Coturnix japonica: one gene and its partners. The protein of the gene in region 3 purifies or fractionates together with the protein of the main gene of each other region. This does not show direct contact. Links are inferred from orthologs where the notes say so. Each region holds a gene or a part of one and is shown on either strand. Other genes may lie near its edges.

Evidence for each region.
Region 1: the proteins of MED4 (region 3) and MED12L purify together in Homo sapiens (affinity purification with mass spectrometry; 3 studies listed by BioGRID and IntAct, with this or other methods). This does not show direct contact. The link is inferred for Coturnix japonica from reciprocal best matches to the Homo sapiens genes MED4 and MED12L.
Region 2: the proteins of MED4 (region 3) and SNAP29 purify together in Homo sapiens (affinity purification with mass spectrometry; 3 studies listed by BioGRID and IntAct, with this or other methods). This does not show direct contact. The link is inferred for Coturnix japonica from reciprocal best matches to the Homo sapiens genes MED4 and SNAP29.
Region 4: the proteins of MED4 (region 3) and GIT1 purify together in Homo sapiens (affinity purification with mass spectrometry; 3 studies listed by BioGRID and IntAct, with this or other methods). This does not show direct contact. The link is inferred for Coturnix japonica from reciprocal best matches to the Homo sapiens genes MED4 and GIT1.
Region 5: the proteins of MED4 (region 3) and IFT20 purify together in Homo sapiens (affinity purification with mass spectrometry; 3 studies listed by BioGRID and IntAct, with this or other methods). This does not show direct contact. The link is inferred for Coturnix japonica from reciprocal best matches to the Homo sapiens genes MED4 and IFT20.
Region 6: the proteins of MED4 (region 3) and ARHGEF7 purify together in Homo sapiens (affinity purification with mass spectrometry; 3 studies listed by BioGRID and IntAct, with this or other methods). This does not show direct contact. The link is inferred for Coturnix japonica from reciprocal best matches to the Homo sapiens genes MED4 and ARHGEF7.
Region 7: the proteins of MED4 (region 3) and POLR2B purify together in Homo sapiens (affinity purification with mass spectrometry; 3 studies listed by BioGRID and IntAct, with this or other methods). This does not show direct contact. The link is inferred for Coturnix japonica from reciprocal best matches to the Homo sapiens genes MED4 and POLR2B.

The regions. Positions count from the first base shown.
Region 1 is NC_029524.1:20,889,605-20,893,490, forward strand, and holds part of MED12L (mediator of RNA polymerase II transcription subunit 12-like protein), read right to left. Parts: intron 3,776-3,886; coding exon 3,640-3,775; intron 3,173-3,639; coding exon 3,011-3,172; intron 1,720-3,010; coding exon 1,357-1,719; intron 693-1,356; coding exon 536-692; intron 1-535. UniProt on the Homo sapiens protein: May be a component of the Mediator complex, a coactivator involved in the regulated transcription of nearly all RNA polymerase II-dependent genes.
Region 2 is NC_029530.1:57,995-62,353, reverse strand, and holds the start of SNAP29 (synaptosomal-associated protein 29), read left to right. Parts: upstream 1-1,396; 5' UTR 1,397-1,549; coding exon 1,550-1,750; intron 1,751-3,048; coding exon 3,049-3,245; intron 3,246-4,248; coding exon 4,249-4,334; intron 4,335-4,359. UniProt on the Homo sapiens protein: SNAREs, soluble N-ethylmaleimide-sensitive factor-attachment protein receptors, are essential proteins for fusion of cellular membranes.
Region 3 is NC_029516.1:150,964,982-150,967,776, reverse strand, and holds the end of MED4 (mediator of RNA polymerase II transcription subunit 4), read left to right. Parts: intron 1-1,506; coding exon 1,507-1,679; 3' UTR 1,680-1,724; exon of another isoform or gene 1,725-1,857; 3' UTR 1,858-2,238; downstream 2,239-2,795. UniProt on the Homo sapiens protein: Component of the Mediator complex, a coactivator involved in the regulated transcription of nearly all RNA polymerase II-dependent genes.
Region 4 is NC_029534.1:4,838,083-4,841,037, reverse strand, and holds the end of GIT1 (ARF GTPase-activating protein GIT1), read left to right. Parts: intron 1-15; coding exon 16-143; intron 144-229; coding exon 230-382; intron 383-470; coding exon 471-698; intron 699-822; coding exon 823-876; intron 877-1,118; coding exon 1,119-1,205; intron 1,206-1,306; coding exon 1,307-1,380; intron 1,381-1,445; coding exon 1,446-1,628; intron 1,629-1,701; coding exon 1,702-1,765; intron 1,766-1,836; coding exon 1,837-2,049; 3' UTR 2,050-2,408; downstream 2,409-2,955. UniProt on the Homo sapiens protein: GTPase-activating protein for ADP ribosylation factor family members, including ARF1.
Region 5 is NC_029534.1:8,043,059-8,047,094, reverse strand, and holds IFT20 (intraflagellar transport protein 20 homolog), read left to right. Parts: upstream 1-1,630; 5' UTR 1,631-1,661; coding exon 1,662-1,788; intron 1,789-1,870; coding exon 1,871-1,956; intron 1,957-2,453; coding exon 2,454-2,557; intron 2,558-2,893; coding exon 2,894-2,975; coding exon of another isoform or gene 2,976-2,985; 3' UTR 2,986-3,340; downstream 3,341-4,036. UniProt on the Homo sapiens protein: Part of intraflagellar transport (IFT) particles involved in ciliary process assembly. May play a role in the trafficking of ciliary membrane proteins from the Golgi complex to the cilium.
Region 6 is NC_029516.1:125,506,671-125,511,140, forward strand, and holds the start of ARHGEF7 (rho guanine nucleotide exchange factor 7), read left to right. Parts: upstream 1-1,654; 5' UTR 1,655-1,822; coding exon 1,823-1,987; intron 1,988-4,470. UniProt on the Homo sapiens protein: Acts as a RAC1 guanine nucleotide exchange factor (GEF) and can induce membrane ruffling. Functions in cell migration, attachment and cell spreading. Promotes targeting of RAC1 to focal adhesions. May function as a positive regulator of apoptosis.
Region 7 is NC_029519.1:43,876,695-43,881,367, reverse strand, and holds the start of POLR2B (DNA-directed RNA polymerase II subunit RPB2), read left to right. Parts: upstream 1-1,663; coding exon 1,664-1,682; intron 1,683-1,787; coding exon 1,788-1,860; intron 1,861-3,031; coding exon 3,032-3,182; intron 3,183-4,673. Other genes in the region: NOA1 (nitric oxide-associated protein 1), read right to left, coding at 1-143, 537-1,665. UniProt on the Homo sapiens protein: Catalytic core component of RNA polymerase II (Pol II), a DNA-dependent RNA polymerase which synthesizes mRNA precursors and many functional non-coding RNAs using the four ribonucleoside triphosphates as substrates.

The DNA of each region.
Region 1 (3,886 bases), on a different chromosome or scaffold from region 3:
TCATAACATCTGCTAAACACACACGAGAACCTCTAAAATACGTTGATTAAATTGTCTGCACCCTGCCTGGAAGAAACAAAACAAATGTACAAAAGTTCAGCTCATCACAAATGCTGAAAAAGAAAGTCAGCCCGCTGATTATTTATTCCATCTAGTAGATGTTAAATGAGCCACCACGGTTCTTGGTCTGGGTCAAATTAGAAATGAAATAGCCCCAAGGTCATTTGTTCCTTCTAATTGTCTCTCCCTTATTTAACTCCTCACTGAACTTCTACAGCTTTCTTAGAAGAAAAATCCATCAGCATTACAAACCATCAGCAGGTCATTGTTGCTTCTCTACCAAAAGAGTTCAATAGCTTAGCATGGACGACCTACGACTGCTAATGGAGAGCTGTTCTGAACAGCGGCTAACTGCAGGAATAAAACGTTGGTATCACAGCCTGCCTCAGAGTCTGGAACAAAACCCGGCTGCACTAAGTCCAATTCTACCACCCAGCAATAAAAACACAGAGATGAACTCAAAGCTCAGACATACCTGGAGGGAGGGGCTGGTTCTGCATGAAGAAGCCAGGCTGCTGCGGATGCCCCATGATGGTGTAGCCCCACAAGGCAGACTGAGGATGCTGCATCATTTGTGAAGGAATGGGCGAGTAATTGGGAGGCACTCTGTATAAGTTGTTCTGTGGATATTCCTTAAAATATACAGTAAAAGCGAATGTTACTGACATTCATACCTTACTAACTCATAAATAATGCCAGTTTTCCTACTAAATTATTAAAGGATAGAGACAGTTCCCATTGTCGTTTGCAATGATGTAAAAAACAGATTAAGTCTCAGGCTGCCCACAGGTAATTAACACTAACAACTTCACAGAGACACCATCCATTTCTATCTTATTAGCAAGCACCTTCAGCAGGCTACCATAAGGCACAGCACAAGCACGGCGTATCTGTACTGCACTGTATTGTACTGTATCTGAAAGGAAATAATGGGAGGAACTTAACTGAAACATCAAAAAGGCCAGAAAACAATGTCCAAGTTACAGAGGAATTTCAGAAGGTGAAAAAGAACATAATTGCTGTAATTTTACACCAAACGAGAAAGCATACATAGAACCTGAGCAACATTCAGTGAGCTAAGATCCAGCCTAGCACCTTGTACATAGCACAGAAGGTCCTATGTGTGCTACGCTCCTCTACATTGATTGTACTTGATAGGAATCCACCCTCCTGCAGACCATTTCCATTCACTACCTCTAATGGAACCCCTCCAGGTAGGGTACAACCTATGAATGCAGCAGAGACAGCATGGTGACAGGATGTTCCCAGCTCTGCACGGAGGCACCAGCTACTTACATCAGCCTTAGAGCTTGACTTTGACTTCCTCTTCCTGCCCTTTGTCTTCTTCTCATCATCTGTGGTGTGTTTTCCCTGATCGGAGAGCTCCCCCGGCTTCCTTTCTGGTTCCTGAGAGACAGGGGTGGTGGGCTCTTCCTCCTCCTCCTCTGGAGGCAGAGGCAAGGGCTCGAGGTAGTAGCTCCGTGGCTTGGGTTTGGGGTGTGCGTGATACAGGAGCAGATGCTGCTGCTCTTCATATTTGATCACCTTCCTGTCAACACGAACTGTACCAAACCATGCCCAGGAGAGAGGAGCAGGATTTTTGTGACCTTCAAATAAGTCCCAAGGGGACACCTTCTGTTTTGTTGAAACCTGAAGACCCTGTATCAAAATAAAAGTGAAGTCAGCACTTTAGAGAAGCTGAACAGCACAGCGAACTACTTGCTTTTGTACATCATGATTTGAGTCACAAAATCCAGTGAGGGTCCTTTACACCCCCCAGAATGTACCAAGTGCACACAGATGGAACTTCATCCTCCACCTAAAGCTGCCACTGGATAAAAGCTGTTAGATTTTTATAATAACATTTGCTTGCAGCCATGCTAAAAACCTCAAGTTCCACCTATCTTAGGAGGAAAAGAGGTACTGCAGAATTACAGATTTTAGCTTTCTTCCTTACATAAATAAACAATTTAAAAAACAACAACAACAACAACAAAAACCAATGCTGGCAAAAAATCCCTATCAGCACAGTTTGTATCTTCCTTCTCTTTCCTCCATGTTTCGTAAGCAGGAGCACCCCCTGCATTGTCCTCCCAGCATGTGACAGGACAAAAGGTTTCCAGGTCAATCAAGCTCTCACATGCAGGATTCTGCTGAAAAAGCAAATACTGTTGTGAGAGCTTCTGCTCTTCGGCTCCAAGAAAACATCATATTCCTTTTTGGTCACTCAAGATGCTGGATTGCAAAATCAAGCAAGCTTCTGTCAGCACTCATTTCATGAGTCACAAATCAACCGTGTGCTCTGCACATCATTCAGTTCTTGTTTGTACAGACTCTGGTGACAGGATTGTAGACAAATCAGAATGTGATTTCTGTCTCAGAAAGTCCTGAGCTTGTATAGGTGGCATAGAGCTGCATCCATCCCAAAGGCACCCAGAGGAAGAGCTCTGACCCATCTGCCAGCTGGGGCAAGTTGTCAGGAGAGGACAGCAGCACCGTCAGCGCTGACGCAGGAAGGTGGTACTGCCACAGCACACCACGATGCTGGAATCTGAAAGCCCCTCTCCAAACACGCTCCTGGCTTCACACACTGCCCAAGAACCTTCATATGGATCATGCCAACAAACACCCTGCACATGTATTGGAAACAGAATTACATTTGCTACCAAAACCCAGTCAGTCATTTGCAACTGATCTGAACAGCGGTGTCCTGCAGGCCCAGCACTGCACACTTCTGCACCACTGCTTGGTTAACACAGACTGTGCTGCTGAGGCTGAAGCTTTAGTAATGACCAAATGCATCAGCAAGCTGTATTACAGCAGAAGTACAATACTCTGCACATACTGGATTTAAGTGTGTGTATTATACAGGCTGTACATGTTTGCTTGAATTTCCCTTGCATCAAAACATCACGAAAAAACAGAGACGAAGGTAAACATTTACTCTTGCCTGTTTTTTATCAATGGAGTCAAACCCTGCAATTTTGTTGCCCTTGGTGTCGATCAAGGATCCCATTGGCTCACAGGTGATAATATCACAGGTCTGCTTTGGCAAAGGGAGCAGCTGGCGAACCTTGTCAATGCTGTCTGACCGCTTGTCTCCCAGCTCCTTCTAAGGGATAAACAAAGTGCTCAGTCAAACAGCAAGGTGGAAATAAGGAAGAGAAACATTGCCCTACTCTCACTATTAGAAAATGCCCAGTTTGGGGATGAATCATTTCCCTGTGCTTTTACTAAATTTAAACAAGTGTTTTTGCAGCCCTGTTTAGCTTGGTTCTAAGAAATCAAGTTACCTTGTTGGAGTAGGTCATACAACATACATAACACAAAGTAAATGCAAAGGCAGTGTCTCAAGCATGAACAAATAGAAGCAATTAAGTCTCTTCCAGGGTTCTGAATGTAAAGTTAACTATAAGAAATATCTTAGTAGTTTGTCTCCCTGCCTTCACATTCCTAATTTTTTATTTCCTCCTTTTCTTTCTTACTATTAATGCCACTTTATTCCCTTTTCTCTTTCCAAGGCACCAGAAATGACAAGAATCAAAAGAAATGCTGCAAATGATGAGAAACAACACTTACTTTTAACTTCTTCACTAAATTCATGTAAGCCCTTTTGTTTTCCTCAGGTCCTCCTTGGGAAGCATTGGACAAGTCGGAGGCGAGCGTCCCATTGATGAGGACGCCCAGCATGTCCAGCACAGTTGTGAACAATTCGCTGAGAGTGAAATGACAAACGTCACTTTGAAGAACAGCATGCACACGTAGCCCCATGTGTACGTGCTGGTGGACTGTCCCAGTGTACACATAAATCCTACTGTGCACCACA
Region 2 (4,359 bases), on a different chromosome or scaffold from region 3:
GGGTTGATTTCAGTTTCCTGCAATGCTTGAGTCAGCTTCTTTTTGTATTTCAAAAGAATTTCAGAAACTTTTCAAAGCATCATAATTACACAGCTCACTTACTGATATCATTTAACTCCTACTGTAGTTTCTCATACTGAAGAAAAAAATTAACAACAGGTAACAGGGAGCAAACAGCAGGATATGAAGAAACAGTGCTCAGGGAGGTGGTGGAACCATTGTCCCTGGGGATATTTAAAAATGTGGAGATAATAGTATCATAGAATAACTCAGGTTGGAAAAGGCCTCAAAGATCACCAAGTCCAACCGCAGCCTAACCATAGCACCCTACCTCCAACAACCCTCTGCTAAATTGTATATCTGAGCATCGCACCCTAACAGGCTCTTAAACACATCCAGGGACGGTGACTCAATCACCTCCCTGGGGCGATGTGGCACAGAGGGGCACAGCTCAGCGGGCATGGCGGGGCTGGGCTGACAGTTGGACTAGACTGTTTCAGAGGTCTTTTCCAACTATAATGATTCTATGATTTTATGATTTGCAGCTAGGTGTATGACCAACAACAGGACTTCAGAAAAACTAAATAAAAGCCCTGTAGCACCTGGGTGAGAACAGCCACGTACAGCAGTTGTTGGTACAGAGCTGTGCCACCCTGCGCGCAGGCACCAAGCTGTGATGCCGTCTCCTCACGGCCACAGCTCCAAGCGGAGCAGAGATCACAGCAGAACGCCTCCCTAGACTGAGACCCTCCTGCTGAGTTCGACATTCGGCAGATGTCTATCTCAGCAAATAACATCACTCTGACTTCACCAAATGCTGCACTCGCGACCAGCTCCCACAAGGCCAAGACCAATTACGCCCCACGAGCCCCAGCCCGGGTTTCGTCAGCGCGCAGCCCTTTCGCCGCAGGCCCACGAGAGCGCCCGGCCGCCCACGGCCAGCGCTCATCCCGCAGAGCCACGCACTGCGCGGCGCTCACACGGGCACAGCCGGGCGCTCTCCCTCACCGCACCCGCGTCTCATTCGCGCCCAGCTCCCACCCGCGCGACAGCCCCCGCGAGTCACACCCCCCCACCTTCTCCAGCGGCGCCGGACTCTGCACTGCCAGCGACCGCGCCAGCGACAGCACCGTATTGAAGTAGAAGCCCCGCGCGGTTCCCACGCCGCTCCCTCGGCCCGTGCCCGCCGAAGGAGCTGCGGCGCCGCCAGTGGTGCCGCCGGTGGTCGCGGCGGCGGTCGCGGCGGCTGCCGCTGCTGCCGTAGCTGCCGCCGCTGCCGCCGCCGCAACCGTCGCGGCCGCCATTGCGTGAGAGACGTCAAGGAGCGGCTGGAGACCTCTCGCGAGAGCGCCCGTCTCGCGACATTGTGGATCGCCAATCGCGCCGAGAAGATGGCGGCGCCCTGCCCGGAGCTCCCCGCCCTGCCCGTCCGCCGCAGAACCGCCCTCGCTGAGCGGAGCGCTCGGCCCGCCCCGGGGAAGCGGTAGTGCCGCCCAGTGCGTGCGGGCGGAAGAGCGAAGGCTCCGTGAGCGGGGTGTGGGGGTTCGCCATGTCGGTCGCGTCGAGGAGCTACAACCCCTTCGATGAGGACGAAGAGGAGACGCGGGGCGGCGGAGAGGTGCGCGGCGCGGAGCGGCAGCGCTCCCTGCAGCAGGAGGTGCTGCGCCGCACGGCCGCCACCGCCGACAGCACCGCGCGCTCCCTCTCGCTGCTCTACGAGTCCGAGCGCATCGGCGTGGCCACCTCCGAGGTGAGTCTGGGCCCCTGCGGCACCGACCCGGCGGCGGGGCCGCCCCTGTTCCCGGCCCGGGCTGTTCCCTCCCGCCGCCCCGCGCCGTTGTGGGTTTTGGTGCTGATGTTTTCCCGTCCTCTGGGCGCTGTCGTTGCTTCTCGGCGATCGGCGTCTCAGAGGCAGCACGCCCCTCCGTGTCACGGTTTGCTGCTGGTGAAGGCTGGTTTTTAAAGCGTGAAATCCCAGTTAGATTCCTCTTACACTGAGAGCAGAACTCAGCCGTGTCAGTTTCTTACTGGGTTTTATTAACAGTGCATATATACTTAGTTTTCAGCAGCTCTCTGATGAAATAAGAAGTCTGCGTGCTTTGTTGTCGATTACGCTCTTGGTTCCACCTCTGTTAATCATTTCCTTAATTCTCACGTGCTTGTTTTGGAGTGCAGTCTATACTCAGACATCGCTAACGAGGGCCTTGCTGTGATGTCATCCGGTAATTGGGAATTTGCCTGAGTGCTGCACCGTGACTGCCGGGGTGGCTCCAGGAGCAGTGCTGGGGGCAGCTTAGCGAGCTACAAATGGCTGAAATGAGGGACCAAGAATTGGGCCTTAGCTTAATGTTAATGGTAATTCTGGAGTTCTGTAGATAAACGCAAGTCCTTGGTTTTGCATTGGCATTAGCTGAGGGCACGTCTTCTGTCAGAATGAATCTTTGGATTGGTTTGGCGTAATACCACTGAAATACAAAATAACACAGCTGTGCATACCAGGATTTATAACTTCTGCACCGTTAGCATTACCTTAAAACTAATCCTGCAGGAAGAAAAAAATTCTAGCTCTATTTACTTTCTTTAACTAGTCTGTTTATAAATCATCTGGAACAACCTAGCAATATGAAAATAGCATCCCTTGTTAATTTCCAGTTTCAGAACTAGACGTAGTTTTTATTTCCCTGTTGTAAACCTTTGCATTTTCACTACATTGTCCGTTAGGTGCAATATTTGTTCCATCAAGAAGCAATACAAACTGACAGAAGGCCAGCATGGGAAGTGCCTGAATCCCTTTTGTAGTACATACCGAGAAACTGGTTGTGCAAAAATTTTGTAGCTGGCCAATGCTGTACCTTACTGCCAGCTTTTCACTGAAATGCCCCAGAACAACAGGAGTGAGTGAAAAGGCTGCATGACTTTAGGAGTAGCCTGCATAGTTCATAGAGGCTTTTTTTTTTTTTTTTTTTTTAAAGCACGTTTATTGAAATGCTTGATGTTTCAGCTTACCTTGGCTTTACTAGCTTCATTTTATCTGTCAATATCCATTAGGAGCTCGTACGTCAAGGAGAGGCACTGAAGCGTACAGAACTAATGGTTGATAAAATGGACCAGGACCTGAAGACTAGTCAAAGGCACATAAATAGCATTAAGAGTGTTTTTGGAGGCCTGGTTAACTACTTTAAAGCCAAGCCACCTGAGAACAAACCAGAACAGAATGGGATGCCTGAATATTATGGCAACAGTAGGTAAGTAAAATGAAAATTTTATCAGGGCATGATGCTGTTTTCTTGGGTTCAAGCAGGGGAATTACCTGTCATCAGAAATCTTCTGAGAGAATCTGGATCTAGAGCAGTTCTTCTAGAGTAAGCCTTGAAGTGGGACGCAGTGCTGTCATATACTCCTCATTCTGTTACTAGGGTCTTGGCTGTCTACAATGTGCTCTTTGATCCCTCTCCAATTATCTGATTTTAAGAAAGAGAGTTTCTTCTGTTTCCTCACAGCATCACTAGTTTCATTCATGTGTTTTTCTCCTGAGCTCCTCAGTTAGACCATTTGCTTTTTTTTTTTCTTCCCCCATAACATCTCTGAACTGTCACCAGAAAAATCAGAATTAACAAATAATGTATTGAATCTGTAAACTCCTGAGATGGTGTCTGGTTCCCTTTTTGCTTTAACTCTGAAAAAAAAAAAAATCTTATATTTCTAACGGTAACAATAACTTAAGATTTTTATGAATTTATTCACAAGTTATTTTTTAGAGTCCCCTGGATCATCATGCTTTATTCAATTGTAGTAGGAAATCATGATTTTGCAGCGTTGGCATGCTTCTTCTTAAATACTATGCATCTTTTTCAACTTTATTTATTAAAAGTTATAAAAAGAAATGAATTACTATGTCTTATAGTACATCTGTGTCTTCAGCTGAGAAATTTATGTAAAACATGGTAGTGCTGCATGGATTGATTTTCCTGCTTCCCTTTTTTATTTTCAATTAGAGGAAAGGAATAGGTTGCCTTCAAGACTGCAGATGTGGTTTTGTTCTTGATATCAAAGCTTACGCTATTTTCAGCACTAGAGCAACTGATTCTGCTTTCACTGAAGATGTGATAATAATTATTTGTAAAGGGACATGTTGGATCATGTCTAGGAAGTTCTCTTTTGTTGGATAATTTTAATGTCTGTTGCTTTTTAACTGATTTAGAATGAAACCTTTGATCTGTAAGAATGCTTTATTCTTTCTATTACCAGATTAAAAGAAGCAATGATGTCTAGCAAAGAACAAGACTCAAAATACCAGGAAAGTCATCCAAATTTAAGGCGCCTAGATAATTCAGGTTTGTTTATTTTATACTAAATGCC
Region 3 (2,795 bases):
AGTGAGACAAAGCTGGTCTCTTTCATGGGATAGCCTTCAGGGCAATGAGAGGAGTTGAAGCACAGCTGTAGAATGGCTTATGTTGGAAAGGACCTTCAAGATCATCTAGTTCCAACCCCCTGCTATAGGCAGGGACACCTCCCTCTAGACCAGGCTGCTCACAGCCTGGCCTTGAATGCTTCTAGGAAGGGGGCATCCACAGCCTCTGTGGGCAGCTGTTCCAGTGTCTCACCACTCTCACAGTAAAGAATGTATCCATAATATCTAGTCTCAGTCTACCCTCTTCCAGTTTAAAGCAATTTCCCTTCATCTTATCACTCCATGCCCTTATAAGAAGTCCCTTCCCAGCTTTCTTTTAGTCCCCCCTCAGGTACTGGAAGGTCGCTATAAGGTCCCCCCAGAGCCTTCTCTTCTCTAGGCTGGATGGCCCCAGCTCTCTCAGTGTGTCCTTGTAGGGGAGGTGCTCCAGCCCTCTGATCATCTTTATGTTGCTCCTCTGGATCTGCTCCAACAGCTCCATGTCCTTGTGTTTGGGGCTCCAGAATGGACACAGCACTCCAGGTGGGGTATGAGAGCAGAGTAAGGGGGAGTCTGCTGGTCATGCTTCTCTTGGTGCAACTGAGGACACTGTTGGTCTTCTGGGCTGCAAGTGCACATTGCCAGCTCACGTTGAATCTTTCATCAATCAACACCCCCAAATCCTTTTCCCCAGGGTTGCTCTCAAGCCATCCTCCGCCCAACCTGTATCTGTAGGAGTAGAGATTAGAAAGAAAGGAGCAGAAATGACATACAGATGCACGCTGCAGCTTTGAAGTGGGAGGCAAAGAGGAGAGAGACTAAGAAGTGTCGTGGAGGGAGTTCCCTTGTAGGTTCGTGAGAAATACATGTTTGGAGAGCTTTGGAATAGATGAGGAGAAATAAATCTGAGAGACGTTGGAGGACGCTGGGGTTGGGCTGCTGGGGCACTGTGAGGCATTCCCACCTCCCAGATACATCTGTTTATGGCACTTGTTTTGTAGTAGGACTGTCTTCTCCCTTGCATTTGCTGCATTGTATTTGCTCTTTGAAAAAGGATAACCGAGGTGTTTCTACCTTGTTCAGACTGAACTTAAATCTGAATTCCTGTGCCTACCTTATTCTTTCTTGCTGTAATATTTTCATGTCTTTTTGCATAGTGTCTGAGAGTGACCGTTTTCATAACCGCTGGTGGTTTTGACTGTTAAGTCAGTTCATGTAGAGCTTTTCACCTTCAAAACACAGTTTGAATCTATACTGTTCTGAATTTACTTTTTCCTTTGATGAGAGATTAAGCCACCTACATAAATAAGCCTGTGGCAGAATAGGCTCTTACAGTGATAGAATGACTCCATCACAAGGTGTTTTTCAGCTGTCCAAAAGCCAGTCATGTTTTTAAGATTTGCTTGAATTTTACACTGTTGTTTGAGCTCCCTTGTTTAGATGGTGGACACACACAACTGATGGCTTGATTATGCTCCTTGTTTCCAGATGTGCTCGCTCCTCAGTATCCTTGGCAGTCAAGTGATATGTCAATGAACATGCTACCTCCTAATCATAGTAATGACTTCATGTTGGAGCCTCCGGGACACAACAAAGAGAATGAAGATGATGTAGAAGTGATGTCAACAGACTCCTCAAGCAGCAGCAGCGACTCAGACTAGGTACAGGAGGGACAGTATCCCTAGTAGACCTTTCCTGTGGTGAAGGTAGGTTGGATGCTGTTATTCAAAGTCCCTTTTATTTATGCTGGCAGCCCCATGCAGGGAGAAGATACAGCAAGCTCAAAGAGTGGCTAATTTCAAACCATGAACTTAAAATTTATATATCTTTTCCCATTAGATGTTCAACTAAAATGACTGGGAGCTTTCTGCTGGATGAGGGATGTCAGATTTCCAGTGCTGATGTAAATGTGTATGTTTGCAAGAGATGCGTGCGTTTGTATATATATTTACTATACATATTAGAGGACAACGTTCCTGGGACAAAAGGTGTAAGGGGAATCCCCTCCTATGTTTGCTAGTAACTTGACTCTTTTGAAGATGGCCTTTTCTATGGCACAGAAACAAGGCATAACATTTGTAATTTTAATACCTTTTTTGTTACTGCTGAAATGCACGTTGTTAATCACATAGTGTGTTCTGAGAACAAAACCATGGCAATAAGGTGTTTAAAAAATGTTTGTAATTACTGTAATATACAATAAACTCACCTTTGATGTAACTTTGCTGCGCTTTGCAAACATAAATCTTTAGGTTTATTGCGTGAATTCATTAGTCAGCACATTTCATCTCAGTGTGCGTTTGATTTCGGATTAAGTTTTAGAAGCTCGTGGTCCTTTTTTCCCTTTGCAAAGTGCAATGTTGTTATTAGAAGCAGCTGAGCAGTCAGCACCTGCAGGTCTGTTCTTTTCAGCTGAGCCTATTGGGTACATACAGCTGCAGAGCCTGAAGCAATGATGTACAGTGCCCAGTCACCAGACCCCACAGATATTTTGGTCAGGTATCCCAAGGTTGTGGATGCTTTGGAACATACTGCAGATTCAGCTCTTTTCAGTTCAGAAGGAGCTCACTTATTCTTTAGTCTCCGTCACCTATATTTTTTTTCAGTTCTTTGAACCTGTTTATTTGTTTGCTTCAGCAATTGCATTTTTACCTTCTTTCATCTTTCCAAAGTCATTTCCATTGGCTTTCTTTGTTCTCTTTTGCTTAGTGACTCATATGATGACAGCTACTTTTATTTTTCCAATTTGATCAGGTTACTGATGCAAACTGTTACTT
Region 4 (2,955 bases), on a different chromosome or scaffold from region 3:
CCCCTGGCCCCGCAGACGCCCTCGACTATTCACTGAGGAGCCAGAGTGACGTGGACGACCAGCACGACTACGACAGCGTCGCCTCCGACGAGGACACGGACCAGGAGCTGCTGCGCAACGCGTCCCGCAACAACCGCGCACGGGTGGGCTGCAGCCCCCTCCCCACCCAGACACAGACCCTGACCCACCCCCTCCCTGCTCCTGGCGCTGAGCCCCTCTCCCTGCACAGAGCATGGACTCCTCCGACCTGTCGGACGGCCCCATCACGCTGCAGGAGTACCTGGAGGTGAAGAAAGCCCTGGCTGCTTCTGAGGCCAAAGTGCAGCAGCTGATGAAGGTGAACAACAGCCTGAGCGATGAGCTGCGCCGGCTGCAGCGCGAGGTGTGTCCCGGACCCCCCTCCAGGCTCCCCATTTTCCCTTTCTCCCCATTCCATCCCCCCCCACTTACTGCTCCCTGCCCCGCTGCAGATCCACAAGCTGCAATCAGAGAACACACAGATCCGGCAGCAGGCGGTGCCCCCACACCCCAGCCCAGCCCCCAGCGAGCGCCCCGAACACGGGCACCCCCCCGGCACGGCCCCCCTGCACCGCCGTGACCGCCAGGCCTTCTCCATGTACGAGCCGGGCTCGGTGCTGAAACCCTTTGGGCAGCCGGTGGAGGAGCTGGTGACTCGGCTGCAGCCCTTTGGAGGCGGCGTGAGTACGGGGTGGGCTTTGGGGTGGGCTGCGTTGGGATGGGTTATTGTGGGGAGGGGTCTCGGGGTAGCTGCAGTGATGACAAGCTGGGGGTGGCGGGGCTTTACTCTTCCGTGTGTCGCAGGAGGTGGAGGACGAAGCTCTGTACTCCATGCACATCCCGGCCAGCGTGTACCGGGTAAGGGGGCCGCAGCGGGGGCGGCTCCTGCATGGCACGGGGGGGCTGTCGGCCTCCCGAGCTCCTGGGACGTCCCCCACCCCTGCAGCGCCGGGGAACCCACAGTGGGGCCGGCAGCCGCGGGACTTCCCTGCATGCAGGGTGGTGGTGTCCCCTGTGCTCGTCCTCCCCTGCACGTCACCGGGCTCGTCTCTGTGCCCCCCCCACTCAGCCCCTTTTTCCCCCCTCTCTTCCCCTTCCAGATGCGGAAAGGTCCGTCGGTCTCCTCCATGCCCTTTCCCCCGTCCTCCCCGCTGCTCTCCTGCCCACCCGATGGTGCCCGGCACATGGTGATGTACCGGGGGGGTGGGGTCAGAGTGGGGTAGGGGAACCTTATTCCTGTATGGATATGGGGCCGGGCAGGGCATAACACTGTGGCTCTGCCCTACAGAGCAAACTGGACCGGCACGGCAGCGGCACCGACAGCGACTATGATAACACACAGACGGGCGAGATCCTGCTGGGGTGAGTGATGGGGATGGGGGCCGCTGGGGGACACGGAGCTGGCATTGACCCCTGTGTCCCCACAGTGTGGAGGGGAAGCGCTTCGTGGAGCTGAGCAAGGACGAGGACTTCCCACATGAGCTGGACCCGCTGGACGGGGAGCTGGACCCTGGGCTGCCCAGCACGGAGGACGTGATCCTGAAAACCGAGCAGGTCACCAAGAACATCCAGGAGCTGCTGAGGGCTGCGCAGGAGTCCAAGCACGACAGGTAGGGCTGCGGTGTGAGCGTGGGGCCGGGTGATGCTGTGCCCCACATCGCTCAGCCCTCTGTGTGCCTGCAGCTTCGTGCCGTGCTCGGAGAAGATCCACTCAGCGGTGACGGAGATGGCATCGCTCTTCCCCAAGGTAGGGGTTGGGGGTGGCCCCGCCGGGCTCCCATTGCCCTATATCCATGTCCTAACGCTTTCCCCGTGCAGAAACCGGCGCTGGAGACGGTGCGGAGCTCCCTGCGGCTGCTGAACGCCAGCGCGTACCGGCTGCAGAGCGAGTGCCGCAAAACCGTGCCGCCGGAGCCGGGCGCAGCCGTGGACTATCAGCTGCTGACACAGCAGGTCATCCAGTGCGCATACGACATCGCCAAGGCGGCCAAGCAGCTGGTCACCATCACCACCCGCGAGAAGAAGCAGTGAGTCCAACACGGGCTCTGCTCTGCGTGTCCTCCCTCTGGTTTGGGCTGAGCGCGGTGGCTGTGGCAGCAGAGCTGGTGCTCGGCCCTGGGGAGCTGCCTTGTACAGCAGCAGCCCAAGCCTGCTCCTACCTTACCCAGTACACAACGTGTGCCAGCCAAATGGGGTGGCCACGTTCTCCTTCCCCCCTCCCCGCGGCCGCGCTCCCCCAGGGCCGCCCGCAGCATTACACTGGACAGGGGATGCCTGGAGGCCTTCCCCCCCTTTTCTCCCCTCCTGGGCGTCCTGCCCCGCGCCGCGCTCCCTCCTGTAAGATGTGTCCTTGTACATTTGTATCAATAAAGATGTGAGCGTTGCACGGCGCCCGGCTCCATCCCATCGTGTCCCCTCGGCCCGGACCTGCTGGCTGTGGCAGCCTGGGGGAGGATGGTGATGGGGCAGAGGAAGGCTCAGGGCACAAGGGGCTGCGCTGCACTTGGAGCACAGCGTGGGGACGGCTGGCTGTGCTGAGAGCAGCAGAACGTGCTGCTTAATGAATGTCAAGCTGGGGGCTGGGCCTGCTGCAATCCCTGCTGGGCTGTGGCCTCCATTAGGAAACATCACCCCACGCTCCCCCCTCTATAGCATTGCAGCCCCCCCCCGGCACCCTGCAGCGCCTTCTGTAATGTGGGGCGGGGGCTTCAGAGGGCGGGTATAACAGGGATGGAGCACCTCCATCCTGCCCCCATTTCCCAATCCCCATTGTAACCTGCTGCCACAGTGATGTGTCCCCCCCACCCCCCTCCATGGACACAGGCCGACACTCCGTGTACTAAAATTACTTTATTACAGTTGATTTTTTTTCTTTTTAACATTTCCTTTGCTATGATACAAAGGATACTTACAAACAAAATATTACATATGACCTTA
Region 5 (4,036 bases), on a different chromosome or scaffold from region 3:
TTACGACTTCATTACTGTTAGTGAGGCAAGCTGAACTCCTCTGGGCTTCCTGTTATTCAGTCTTCAGCCAGCATTACAATCAACACACAACACTGCAGCCCAAGGTTAAGTGCTAGATGGGATTCAGATCCCGTTCAACTTCCCGAAATAACTTTTCTGCCTGCAGGAGGGAAACAAATGGAAGAGCTTTGTCCAATTCTTTCATCTGGCGATTACATAAAAAATATTTTAACGTGATATTCTTATAGCAGCTCCAACTTCTTCAAACGACTTGATACTGCAGTGCTGGAACATTACATTCTATTTCCTCGAAACTCCTTTTATTCTACTTCTTTTCCCCCCTTCACTCCTAGAAAAACCAACAGTCGATGTCATGTAGTTTCTATTATTATTGTTTCAGGATGGGTACGCCTAAAAAATGTCTGGTCTTTGGAGTATTTGTCTCAGTTAAAAGCCAGCACAATATTGCTCAGAGGAGCAATTCCCCACCAGTAACCCAGCAACAGCAACTAGCAGCTGCTTATTACAGTTGTGTTCTGTAAGAAGTTAATTGCACAAATAAAGCAGCTCCAGAGAAATCCATGTTGCCAGCAACAAAGTTACTTTTTGTCAACTCTAGGTTATATTGTCATACACCGAAGTAAACCAGAAGCAGCAGCAGCAGCGCACTGTCCTACACCTACAACCTCCAGAGAAAACAGCACCATGGCTCAGGGCTGCAGGTTTGCCCTCGGTGTCCCATCCTGCTTCAGACCACAGGAGCCCTTCCTCCAAAATAAAAGCGTGTTTTTAAGGACAGCCAGAGTCCGTAACGAGCTCTGGGTGTGCACGAAGCTTTCCAGTCTCAGCAGCGGCATCTCTGAACACGTGCACTAGTGAAGGTTTCTGTAGTTGCCGCACCTCCGGCACGTCGCTACGTTTCTGACCAAGAAGGACGAAGCAAAAAAACAACCAAAAAGCAAAATGAGAACCCGCTGCACAGCGTGTCCGGGGAGACAAAACGTCACTGAGGTCCCTGATCATCGATCACGTAGGAGGCTCCTGCGATAAACACAGACTGAACCTTTAATTACCCACATTAACACACGCATAAATGTTGCCCCGTTTCCCTTCCGGCCGGAGCGCAGCACAACAACGGCACCGCCGTCAGGAAGCGGCCCCTGTTCAGCACGGCCACGAAAAGGAGCGGGACTAACGGCGCGAGGGGAGAAAACGAGAAGAGACAAAGGAAAAAAGACGCACAAAGCAGAGAAAGCAACAGGACAAAGCGACAACTGCGCCCCGAGCTGAACCGGCGGGGCCCGGACACGCGCTCCGCCCCGCCCCGCTCTTCCCCTGCCCCGTACCGGCTGCGCGGGCCGCTCCGGCCTGTCCGGGCAGCGCCGACCGGGTGTCGCGGGGCCGTCGGGCGGCGCGTCCGTGGCCTCCGCAACGTCCCCGGCCCGAACGCGGCGGCCACACCGAAGTTCCGCGTCCGCAGCCCCGCCCGCGCGGCCCCACGTCACCGAACCGCCCGGCCCTACAGTCCGCTCACCGCCCGGCCCTACAGTCCGCTCACCGCCCGTGGCCGCCGTCCCCCCCGCTGCAGCCCGTCACTTCCTGCGCGCTGCGCCGCACCCTGCAGCGCTTCCTGTGGCTCCGTGTATCCGAGCGGTGCCGGGATGGCGCAGGAGGCGCTGGGCGCGGCGGGGCTGCACTTCGACGAGCTCAACAAGCTGCGCGTCCTCGACCCCGACGTGGCGCAGCAAACGGCGCAGCTCCGCGAGGAGTGCAAGGCCTTCGTGGACAGTGAGTGCGGGGCGGGGCGGGGGGCGCCGCTTCACTCCGCGCAGCGCTGACAGCCACGAACGCGGGACCGTTTTTCTTTCAGAAATAGCGCAATTCCAGAGCACGGTGGGCGGCCTGATCGAGCTCATGGACCAGTTGGCCAGAGCTGTCGAGAGCGAGAAGATGAAGGTACGGTCCGTTGGGGCTGTCCTTGTAGTCACACCTCCTGGCAGGACGCAGCTCATGGTGGGCTCTGAGGACAGGGCTGTCCAACGATTCACGCAGTAAAAACCTCTGTAACTACCTCAGAAACGTGCACTAATACACGTCACCAAGCGCTCTTTATCTTCTCACTTTATTATGGGGTTGGAGATGAATTTTCAGCACAGCTGTGATTACTTTTCCCTTGTTTGTTCTGTGGGAGAAACTCCTGAGCCTCCTGTTGGTAGCAGCCACCAGGGGGTCAGTTTATTTCACACTGTTAGGAATATCCCAGGTTGGAAGGAAGCCTCAGATGCCTCAACCCGCCCAGCCCCTACAGGGACTGTGTTTGCTCCACAGCCCATCCAGCAGGACGATGCCCCCTTTGCTCTTAGCACGGCTGAAAGACTTTCATCGCGACCTGCTGGTAGTGAAAGGGGTTAAAACTCCTTGTACAGATCCATCACAAACGTCTGTTTTGACAGGCCATCGGTGCACGGAATCTGCTGAAGTCTATAGCAAAGCAAAGGGAAGCACAGGAACAGCAGCTGCGGGCTTTAATAGCTGAGAAAAAGATGCAGCTGGAAAGGTGAGCTTCCTATTAAGTGTTTTTGGGGCATGGACGTAATAGTTGGGAAAGAAAGCTGTGTAGATGTGAGAGAAACAGCCACGTACTGAGAAGGATCATTTCTAATGGCTTTGTGGCTATCCGGATAGAGGTGATGTGAGATCATACAACTGTGGAAATTAATAAAACAGTAAGAGTGGCAGGCAGGTGACTTCTAAAGGCTTTTTAGAACTGTCAAGTCTAATTCATGTGACTGTTGCCTTAAAAAGGACACACACGAAGCCCTGAGCTTCGCTCTCAGACTGGTGAGCACTGCACTAAAATATCAGCTGGTAACCTATTTTCTTTGTCTTTCAGATATCGAATAGAATATGAGAGTCTGTGTAAAATTGAAGCGGATCAGAATGAATTCATTGACCAATTTATTTTTCAGAAATAGAAGACTTTAAGATAAAGACCAGCTTGGAAACACGAGCATTCCAGACTCTTTGACTATTTCAGAAATATGCAATTTTTCACTGTGTGCAAATAAATAAGGATGGTTTGTGCAAATAAAAGTGTTTTTTAATGCAGTGTGAGTTACACTACAAGTGGCAATAAGGAGGGCTTTCTAACAGCTGTAAGACTGTTCTGTCCTTTGATTTTTATAAAGGTTTTATACAGTCAGTAGTTCAGATTCAATCTGTAGTTGAATTAATACTGCTGTTCCTCTGTTAATGTCTCTCTCCCTTTTTGAAATGTACAGCTCTTTCAATGAAATCAGGCAATAAACTTTTGTTTGTCACCTACTTGGACATACCAGAATTAGCTTCTTCTGCTTTGTTACTGGGGAGCTCGTAAGTTTGTGACTCCCTGGATCGTCATCATGAAGGACTTCCCTCATATAGCCATTTTAACACTCCTAGCAGCATAACGTGCAAAAGAGAGAAGCAGTGGTTGGTAACTCCTGCCTGGGAATTCCTAAACTGGTCAGAAAAATTGGTGATTAACAGAACGGGGCAGTTGCACACAAAGAGGAACAGAGAATTAAGATTAAACTGTGTTTGAAGTAACATTGCAGTGGAATACTGCAATTTAACCGTAGGACTTCAGACTGATGAGACAAACAACCCTCAGCGTGTAGTGGCACCAGGAACGCATACAGACCATAGATATGAGCATGGCATTTAAAAACTGAATGTCTGTGACCTAAAATCAAGGCTCTTGTTCAAACAGCAATAGATGCATTTTACACCTGTCTTTAGGCAACCACATAAGAAAACGCTGCCCTTTTCAAAGCTTGTGGGAGGTTTAAGTTACACACCAGTAACGTCCTGAAATAATAAAGCAGTGACTGAAGAAGCCTGCTAGAATTTTACACAAGTCTTCACTGCTCAGTGGCCCAGAATTTCACACAAGTCTTCACATTGTATTCTTACAGATCAAACAGGAAAAAAGGCTACCAGCAGTTGGTTTTATTTTCGATGATTTCCAAGTATAACACAAAGTGTTTTTCTTTAT
Region 6 (4,470 bases), about 25 Mb from region 3:
CTAGGGCATTATGAAGGTGCTTACTGCATCCCGTGCTAACAGAACACGGGGTAAATTGTAGTAAATACACACTAAAAATAATCTGAGATTCTTGAATCGTGTTTAATTGGAACTCAGGACCTCTTCGATCATTTGTAGCCGCGTTGATTCCTAGCCATCCTGTTCTCATTCTTCATTTCTTTCCTGGTCTTCATTAAGTGTGAATAAAACACTTCCAAAACGCCAATCAAAATAGATTTCTTTCTGCAGAGGGAGCCCCATGTGACTGTTGTCCTTTTCCATTCTTCCTTCCCCAGCTCTACCCTTCATCTGTCACACGTGATGTAGACCAGGCGAGGACTGTGCTTCTATATTCATCTCCGCCTCAAGCAGAATGCTCATTATTGGTTTCTGGGAGAATAAAGAACGCAACGGATCAATGCCATTAACCCAAGCTGCACTTAGAAGACAAAGCTGGTGCAGCTGTTGCACCGATGGTCTCAGGAGTACAGAAGCAGGGCTACACTTGGGGCTGTGGCAGACCTGCCAGAGCTCTCTGAGGGCACTTCCATCCAAAGAACACAGCCGGGGTAAAAGTGACAAATGCTGCAAGGATATAACACTGTGAGTTGCCTTCATTGCCCTACAAAATGAAGAAGACATTAACAGAACTTTCAACAGTGATCTGACCCAGTGACAGCATTTCTGCTTTGGCACGGTTCTAACAGCACCTGCCGTGAGGTAGTGTGGCACTGAGGGACATAGTCAGTGGGCACCAGGGGGTGGGGGTGGGTTGAGGTTGGACTCGTGGTCTTTTCCAACTTCTATGATTCTATTGTAGCTGGAGAAGGTTTGAGTGCTTAGGAGGAGAGCACCCGCTATCCCCCGAGTATCTCTGGCTGGCTGGCTGTAAGCTGTGGTGCCCCTTCCCTGGAGGGGCTCAAAGCCAGGTTGGATGGAACCCTGGGCAGCTGAGCACAGGGCTTGGAATGAATCAGCTTGGAATGAAGTGATATTTAAGGACTCTTCCAACCTGAGCCATCCTCCGATTCCACAATCTGTGTGTTTGATGTGAAGTATTGCTTTGTGGGGATGAGACGTTTTCTCAGGAGGATGTAAACTTCCATAGGGCAAACCTCCTGTGAGAGTTACCTGCTGCATGGGAGCTCTGGTTTCTGGTCAGACCAATGTTCAACCAGTCTCCTCTCCACTGAAATCCCAGCCCTGGTTTGGCAAAGGCAGAAATGTGCATCTATCTGGAGTGCCTCCTCACTGCTCGAGAGGCTGACAGACGAGGCAGTAACAGCCCTAAGAGCCCCATCCAACCTGGCCTTGGATCCCTCCGGAGATGGGGCGCACACATCCTCTGTGGGCAACCCGTTCCAGCGCCTCACCGCGCTCACACCAACGCATCGATCCCGATCACCCTCCCGCCTCATCCCGCTGTCCCCGTGCAGCACAGGCCCCGCCGCACGCAGCCTGCGGAGCCGGGCGGCTCCCCCAGCGCTCCGCACCCGCGGAACCTCCGCGTCGCTCGTGCCGCCGGGGGGCAGCCACCGCCCGGTCCGGCTCCGCGGGTGCGGGAGGGGGGGGGGCTCCGCGGGCGCGCAAGCCCCGTGCCGTCACGGGGCGGGGAGGAGGCGGCTCTGCGGCTGCATGTGTGTGTGTGTGTGTGTGTGTATATGTGTGAGTGTGTGTGTGTGTGGCGGGGCGTCGTCATCCGCATTCACATGGGGGAGGCGGGGGCCTCGGCCTGAAACCCCCGCCCGGGGAGGGGAGACAGCGATCCCATAAAGCCGCCCCCCCCTCACCCCCCTCCCCTCCAACCCAGCTCCGCGCGGCCATGACTTCGGCCGAGCAGACCGTTACGTGGCTGATCGCCCTGGGCGTGCTGGAGTCGCCCAAGAAGAGCATCGCCGACCCCGAGGGCTTCCTGCAGTCCTCCCTGAAGGACGGCGTGGTGCTGTGCCGCCTGCTCGAGCGCCTGCTGCCGGGATCCATCGAGAAAGTGAGTCGGGGGCAGCGGGCTTTGTCAGGCCGGGGGCGGCGGCATGGCGCGGGGGGCACGGCGGCGGCGGCCTCCGCCTTGGGGACCCCGGAGATTCGGTGCCGAGTTCCTCCCGAGGAGGATGGAAGCGGCGGGAGGGAACAAAAAGCGCTCCCTGAGCCCCGCGTCCGCCCCTAACGTTCAATTGAATTTCCTTGTAATGCGGGCTGTTGTCCTGCTTGCTTGCTTTATTTTGGCTTTCTGGGGGCCTCCGTGTGCCGGCACACCTCATGGAACCAACTTTCCCCATCTTGCTGGTGACTGTTGAAGGTCACCTGGCAGGTGGCTGTGGTCACCTGCCGTGTGTGTGTCTTTCTTGAGCCTCAGAGTTGGAAACCTTTGAGCTCTGTAGGGTGCTGGGTTTGGAGCAGGGTCCTTAGTTCCCCACAGGTTGTGGCTGTCACCGCTTTGTGCTGTTGTCCACCCTGCTCTGTTTGGTGACTTGGTGCTGTCCTCATGGACTGCAAGCAAATGGGGGATGTGGAAATGACCCCGGAGCTCACAGGTGTTATGGAAATGACACAGGAGTATTGAGTAACAACGGGGACAGCTGGCTGGGACAGCCATGGCCTGGAGCAGGCTGCACAGAGAGAGTGTGGAGTCTCCTTCTCTTGAATGACTCAGAACCCACCTGAATGTCCTGTGTGACCTCCCCTAGGGAACCTGCTTTAGCAGGGGTTGGACTTGATGATCTTCAGAGGTCCCTCCTGACCCCTGTGGTTCTGTTATTCTATGTGTGAGATGCAGCTGGAAATAATGCGTGTCCATTCCTTGGCACCAGTCACACAGTGGGGCGCAGACCCTCCTCAGGAATAGTTTGTTGGTGCATCCTTCCATCTGCATGACAGCCGTGGTGGTTTCCCAGCCTGTCTTGCTGTGCCTCCCAACCTCTGGTCTCCAGAGCCCCATGGAGCTGGGTGCTGAGCATTACAGCAACGCAGGGCTGTCCATGCACTTCTGGCAAGCCTGGGAGGATGATGGGGTCCTGAGATGGAGTAGGGAACAGGTTCTGCTGCAGGCGCACTGAAATAGAGATGAGTGATGGAAATAAGTAGCAGGAAAGCGTTTCCCAACTTCACGTGCTTCTGTGTACGGTGCAGCTAGGAGTGGCTTTGATGGGAAGGAGAGGCGTGCTCTTGTTATTGTGTCAAAGGAGGCAATGCTTGTGATACTAGGGTCCCTTCCCAATCCCAAACCTAAGGGGAGGCTGTGCAGGAGCACAGCTTCCCTCGGGAGCTGACAGTGGGGTGCTTTTATCCAATCTGCCATACAGGGATAAGCCAAATAGTGCAGGGTTGTGCAGAGGGTGGTGATGGGCTGGGATGGCTGGCAGAGGGGAGAAGGTCTTTCAGCCTGCCACCTACCCCAGCCAGCCTGTGTCCAGCCCTCTGCTAGAGCTCTGTGTATTTACTGATTTCTTTGTTTTGTGAGCAGACCTATATGTAGTTCTTGGCCTTTCTCATTGTGCTTTCTAGCCCAAAGGTGCCTTTGAAAGTCTCACAGACTTGTGTCCCAGTCCAACTCTGGGCTGGTCGGTGTCCTTCCTTGTAGATTACACTGTGTTCGTGTGCTGTATTTGTGCTGGGTAACTCCTTGTCAGGAAGCACTGGCTCCATTTGTTTACAGAACAGTTGCCTGTCTTGAGCAGCAGACAGGTATTCAATTCATCCGATTCCAGGAGCTGTGAATGAGAGCGAGTTGGAAGGCAGCATTACTATGCATTGCATCTCTTGCTTCTGAAGAGTGGCCACGAGGAGGTAAAATCAGGCAGGATTGTGCAGAGCAATGGTCCTGGTGAACAGTTTTGTAACATGGGAAAGGGGCAGAAGGCAGAGCAGTTGCCTGCAACCAACAATGAATTTAGAAGTGTCTGCAACTGTGTTCAGCTTTTCCTGTTGACTCTGGTCCGCTATCAAGGTGAGCAGAGCTAAGGATACTTGTTTTAGAGTTGTTTATTTAACTATGCACATACAGTAGAGTAATGCAGTGCTGATGATGCCAGTAGGTGCTCCTGAATCCTCATGAGTAATTTTGTATTTGCTTTCCTTCTTCAATTTCCTATGCATCCATCCATTTTCATATACGACATGCACAAGATCAGGATTAGCATTTTTAAGTATTCTAGAAAGTTTCAGAAGATGTCATAGAATCATCATAGAATGGTCAGTTTTAAGCAGTAATGGTCAGTAGTTCAGCAGTAGCCGAGAAGATACACCAAATCTCTTGAAATTAACCTGAACGTCAGTACTTTATTGCTGAACTGACCTTTCAAAACTGGGAATAAACATACACTGGTATACAACTAGAATAAATGGTAGGGAACTGTAACTGGGGGGTTGGACTTGATCTCTGGAGGTCCCTTCCAACCCCTGTAATTCTGTGATTCTATAACAGGGCAAAAGCAAAGACTGCCACCTCCCCCTGCCCAAACCCTCAACTCCTTA
Region 7 (4,673 bases), on a different chromosome or scaffold from region 3:
AAGGCGATTCAGGTGCTTTTTTTCCTCATCGCTTAGCTGATCTTCTGTTTTTTGTGCCTCTTCTTTCAGCCTCTCCTGCCTCCTGAATATCCTGTCGCACGTAGGGTTGATAATTGGAAATTTCAACAAGTTCAGTGTTGTTCCTGGAAGAAGAAGGAGGAGAAAGCAAAAAGGGTGACACATCCAGACCTCTGGGATACCTGGATATCCAGACTCATACTTAAGCTCTGAGGTACATGAATAAAAAAGTACTTGGAGCCATCTAACAAAGCTGGAGGTGGAACTAAGCATCAACACCTGCTCTGCTTAAGTCTCCCTCCTAGGCAGAGTGGCTGGAGTGTGTTACCATCCACTTGGTACCTGCTCTCTTGTTGAAAGGCTTCTCAGACACTCTCACTAATTAAAATCATGCTGATGCTGGTACAGTCGTGGGTCATCTGAGCTGATTTTAGGGAGGTCGATCAGACACTTTAGCAGCAAAGCCTTGTGACCTTAGCACCCGAGTGCGATATGGGGATGCTGGTAGTGCCCCTCACCTGGCCAGGATGAGACGGTGGCCCTACTAACCACGTCGGGAGCTCGTGACTTGCAGTAGTCGGATTGCAGCAGGGCATTGAAGAGCGTCGACTTGCCCGAGTTGGTGGCCCCCAGCAGGTAGACATCACCGGCGCACTTCCAGGAGCGCTGCAGCCGGCTGACCAGCCCCTCCATCCCGAAGCCCGTTTTGGCACTCACCAGCCGTACATCCACTAATTGCTCCCGGGCGATGCCGGCCTGCAGACAGGCGGCCGTCACTCTCTGCCGCAGCCGCCCCAGGTGCCCGGGGGAGTCGGCCGGCAGCAGATCCACCTTGTTGCCCACCACCAGCAGCCCCGCTGCGGGCACGTCGGGGCTGAGCAGCGCGGGCAGCTGCGGTAACACGGGGTCGGGCAGCTCCAACACATCCAGCGTGTAGAGCAGCAGCGGGCCCCTGCCGTGCCGCGGCGGGCTGCGGAGCGCGTCGCTCAGCACGGCGCGGTGCTGCTCGGCCGGCAGCTCCAGCCGCACTAAGCGGCCGCCGTGCGCCATCACCCAGCACCGCTGGCACACGGCATCGCGCAGCCCGGCCGCTCCGCCCGGCCCCGAGCACAGGCTGCGGTACTTGTCGGCCGGCACGAAGCCCGGCGCCGCGGTATCGCGGCACTGCAGCTCGGCCCCGCAGCCCGAGCAGCCCACTCCGCTCGGCGGCACGGACGGGTCGGCCTCCCCCAGCAGCCGCTCCCTGCCCGCCCGCCTCCGCGCGGCAGCTCTGCCCGTCGGCGAAGCGGCGGGTGGTGCCGGTGGTGGTGGCAGTGGTGTTGGTGGTGATGGTGGCTCTGGCTCCGGCTCATACTCGAGGAATACGAAGCGCTCCTCCTCGCCGCCCAACGCCTTCCATCGCCTCGCCGCCCATGGCCGTGCTGGCCGCAGCCGGCCCAGCAGCGCCCGGCCCAGCTGCAGCATGACGGGCAGCGTGAGCAGCCCGCAGGAAGGGGCAGGGCGAGGCTCACCCCGCGCATGTGCGCTGCTCCCCGTTCCCGCCGCCCTCCTTCCTGTGGCCGCCGCTCGGCGGGCGCTCGGTGCCGGATTCTCGGCTTCTTTCTCTCCCGTCCCGGCCGGTCGCGGCTCCCTCCTCGCTGCCGCCATGTACGACGCGGATGAAGGTGAGTGAGGCCGCGCCGGCCGCCTCCCGCCGGGCCGCTCCCCCGCTTCTATGGGCGGCCCCGTAGTGGCGGCCTTGGCCTGACCCGCTCCCTCTTCCCCTGTAGATATGCAATATGATGAGGACGACGACGAGATCACCCCCGACCTGTGGCAGGAGGCGTGCTGGATCGTCATCAGGTGATGCTCTCGTTGTGCTGCTGCTGGTGGGACGGGTGCACGGAGGCCTCGGGCTTTGCGACTAGGCCGGGCCGCGTGGTTCGGCTTTTAGGGAGCGGAGCTGCGCTCAGCTGGGCTGTGGGGCCCTTGTTTGGTTTGGCAGGGCTTACAGACATAGGGCAGCTGGTTGATGAACCTCGTGAGGTCCAGCAAAAACAAGGTACAAGGTCTTGCACCTGGGTTGTGGCAACACCCGCTACCAGTACCAGCTGGGAGCAGGTGGATGGCAAGATGGACTTGAGACAGCAGTGTGCCTTGGCAGCCGAGAAAGCCAGCTGTACATAAGTACTATTACAGTAAGAGCGATGAGGCACCAAAACAAGTTGCCTAGGGAAGTGGTGGAAGTCCTGTCCCTGAAGTCATTCAAGGGGCTCTGAGCACCATAGGTGTCCTTGTTTCTTTTAGGAGAGTTGGACTGTCTGACCTTTAAGGGTCCCTTCCAACTCAAACGTTTATGTGTTTCTACTGCACTGGCACAGGCTGCTCAGGGAGGTGGTGTAGTCAGTCACTGGAGATGTGGTGCTGAGGGACACGATTGGTGGGGATGGGTAGGAGGTTGGACTAGTTTTCCCAGCAGAACACCAACAGCCAGGCCCTGTGGCTCCTCATGCTGTTAAGAAGCGCACATTGTAAGCAAAAAGTGTTTTTCTTTTGAACAGGAGCCTTTCCCTATGTGCAGTGGGGATAGAGAACAGCAAAGCCAAGGTAGCGTGAGATCTCCAGGTGCCTTCAGGGCTGTGTGGCACACAGCCCATGTCTTCAGGTCATCCTGTTAACAATGAGAGTGCAGGGCTTGGAATGTTGGCTTTGGTTTCATGACTGGGTTGTGGTGTTGGGTTATGTCTGGGCCACACAAAAGCTAGAGGAATTTAAGATAGAGTGCGTACACGGCTCAGCCAGGAGGTGGCAGCAGGTCTGTCACTTTGCAGTCTGCCTTCAAACACCGATGAGAGTTGAGTTTAACATTTCTGAGCATCTGTGTACACAACCCGTGTCTCAGGCAAAAAGTATTTTCTACTGTATTTCAGAGCTTTTCAAGATTTTGTAATGAATTTACCTTAAGCTTGCTGACAAAATACATCACTTAAATTAAGTTATCTTGTTAATGTGTTTTGTTTTGTTTTTCCTTTAGCTCCTATTTTGATGAAAAAGGTTTAGTCAGGCAACAGCTGGATTCTTTTGATGAGTTTATTCAGATGTCTGTGCAGAGAATTGTTGAAGATGCTCCACCGATTGATTTACAGGCAGAAGCCCAGCATGCCACAGGAGAAGTGGAAGAACCGGTAAGTGGAGGCAAAGGGGTTTCATAAGCAAAATGAGTAGGTGGTACCTTGAGTAGGTGGGTTTCATTCGGTCTGTGTCTGGAGAGACTGAAGTACATCTGAGTTGGGACACAGCCGGGAGGATGGAAGTGTAAACTGCTTGGATTCTATAAGGCAACTGTGCAACTGCTGAGGATGGGAGCAGGCCTCATCGACAGGGATTTAGTGGAGCAAGCAAGCTAGCCATAATAAAACCGTGCTTTGCTGGGATTTTTGGTTCTTGGTAGCTTTACTATGGCAGAAAAGGCTTAAGACTAAAAAGGCTTTTGTTAGGTCTGGGTTTTCTAGTAGTGCCCTTACTTATCATCTTCCATTGGTACCATGTTCCACATTATCTAAGGTCTTTGTGAGGACTTATGAAGTGTGTGAGGGTACAGTACATGTTCTGCATTGGTTGTGGTGCTTCTGCTGTTCACTGTGGTGTCTCCCATATGGTGCGGTCCTGTGTATGTCAACAGCGATGATCCAGTTACTCAAGTTTCTGCTTCCCTTTTGAGCTTTAAGGGAACTTTAGGAATTCTGAGAGTCAAATCTGTTATGTTTTGACTGTTCCTTTCCATTTTTTGTGCGTGCATGCATTGTTTAGAGAGAGTAACAGATTTCTTTTAGTTCCTGAGTTTGTCATAGGGCTCATTCTTGGGTAGATGAACACTCATAAATGTTTGTAATTCCTCTTAATATTTCCTCTGTTGCTCTGTGTATATTATATCTATATTCCCTAGCTGTGCAGTTCTGCAGATGCTGTATGAGCTGTATGCAGTTAAGTGTGGATCTCCAGCATATATGTGTTTAACTTTGCCCAAGACATAGTATTTGACTTGAGGGTAGGTTTCTTGCTCTTATTTATCCAATTGAAGTTTTAAGAGTATGGCCTAGATATGAGAAAAAGAAAACTTGGTTTTTCCTTCAGTTTTACTTGTTGGCAATCTCTTGTCTAATGGGAGAATGCAGGATTTAATTAAGGAGGCTGAGTATGATTGGACTAATCCGAGGTGACTTGTTTCTCCCTCCTTCCATGTTCAGCTTTGCATTTTGAGGGCAGCTAGGACAGTATGTTTTATAGCACACTAAAGTGTTTTTACAGCCGTGCTGAGAGATGGGAATTACAGTAAATGTGTGTTCTACGTGCTTACATGAGAACCTGTGAAAGTTATTTCACGCAGCTACTGCTGCAAATGAAGGAGAAAGGTGTTTCTTTGGGTGAGAATTGAGAGCTAGCTGTGCTAGAGCTTTGGTGTTGTACTACAGTAGTCCTAATGGCTCGGATACAGTTAGATAACTGCATGGAGCTCAAGTTTTGCTTTAGTTATAGATATTCACAGCTGGCTTCTAGATGGTGGGGTGGCAGCACTACTGTTCTTTGTTTGGGTTAGTTTCTGTTCTGCAAGCAGTCACAGTGTGAAACAGGAACTCAAAAGAAAGGCTTTCAAGGCAGTGGGTCTTTCAACTTGT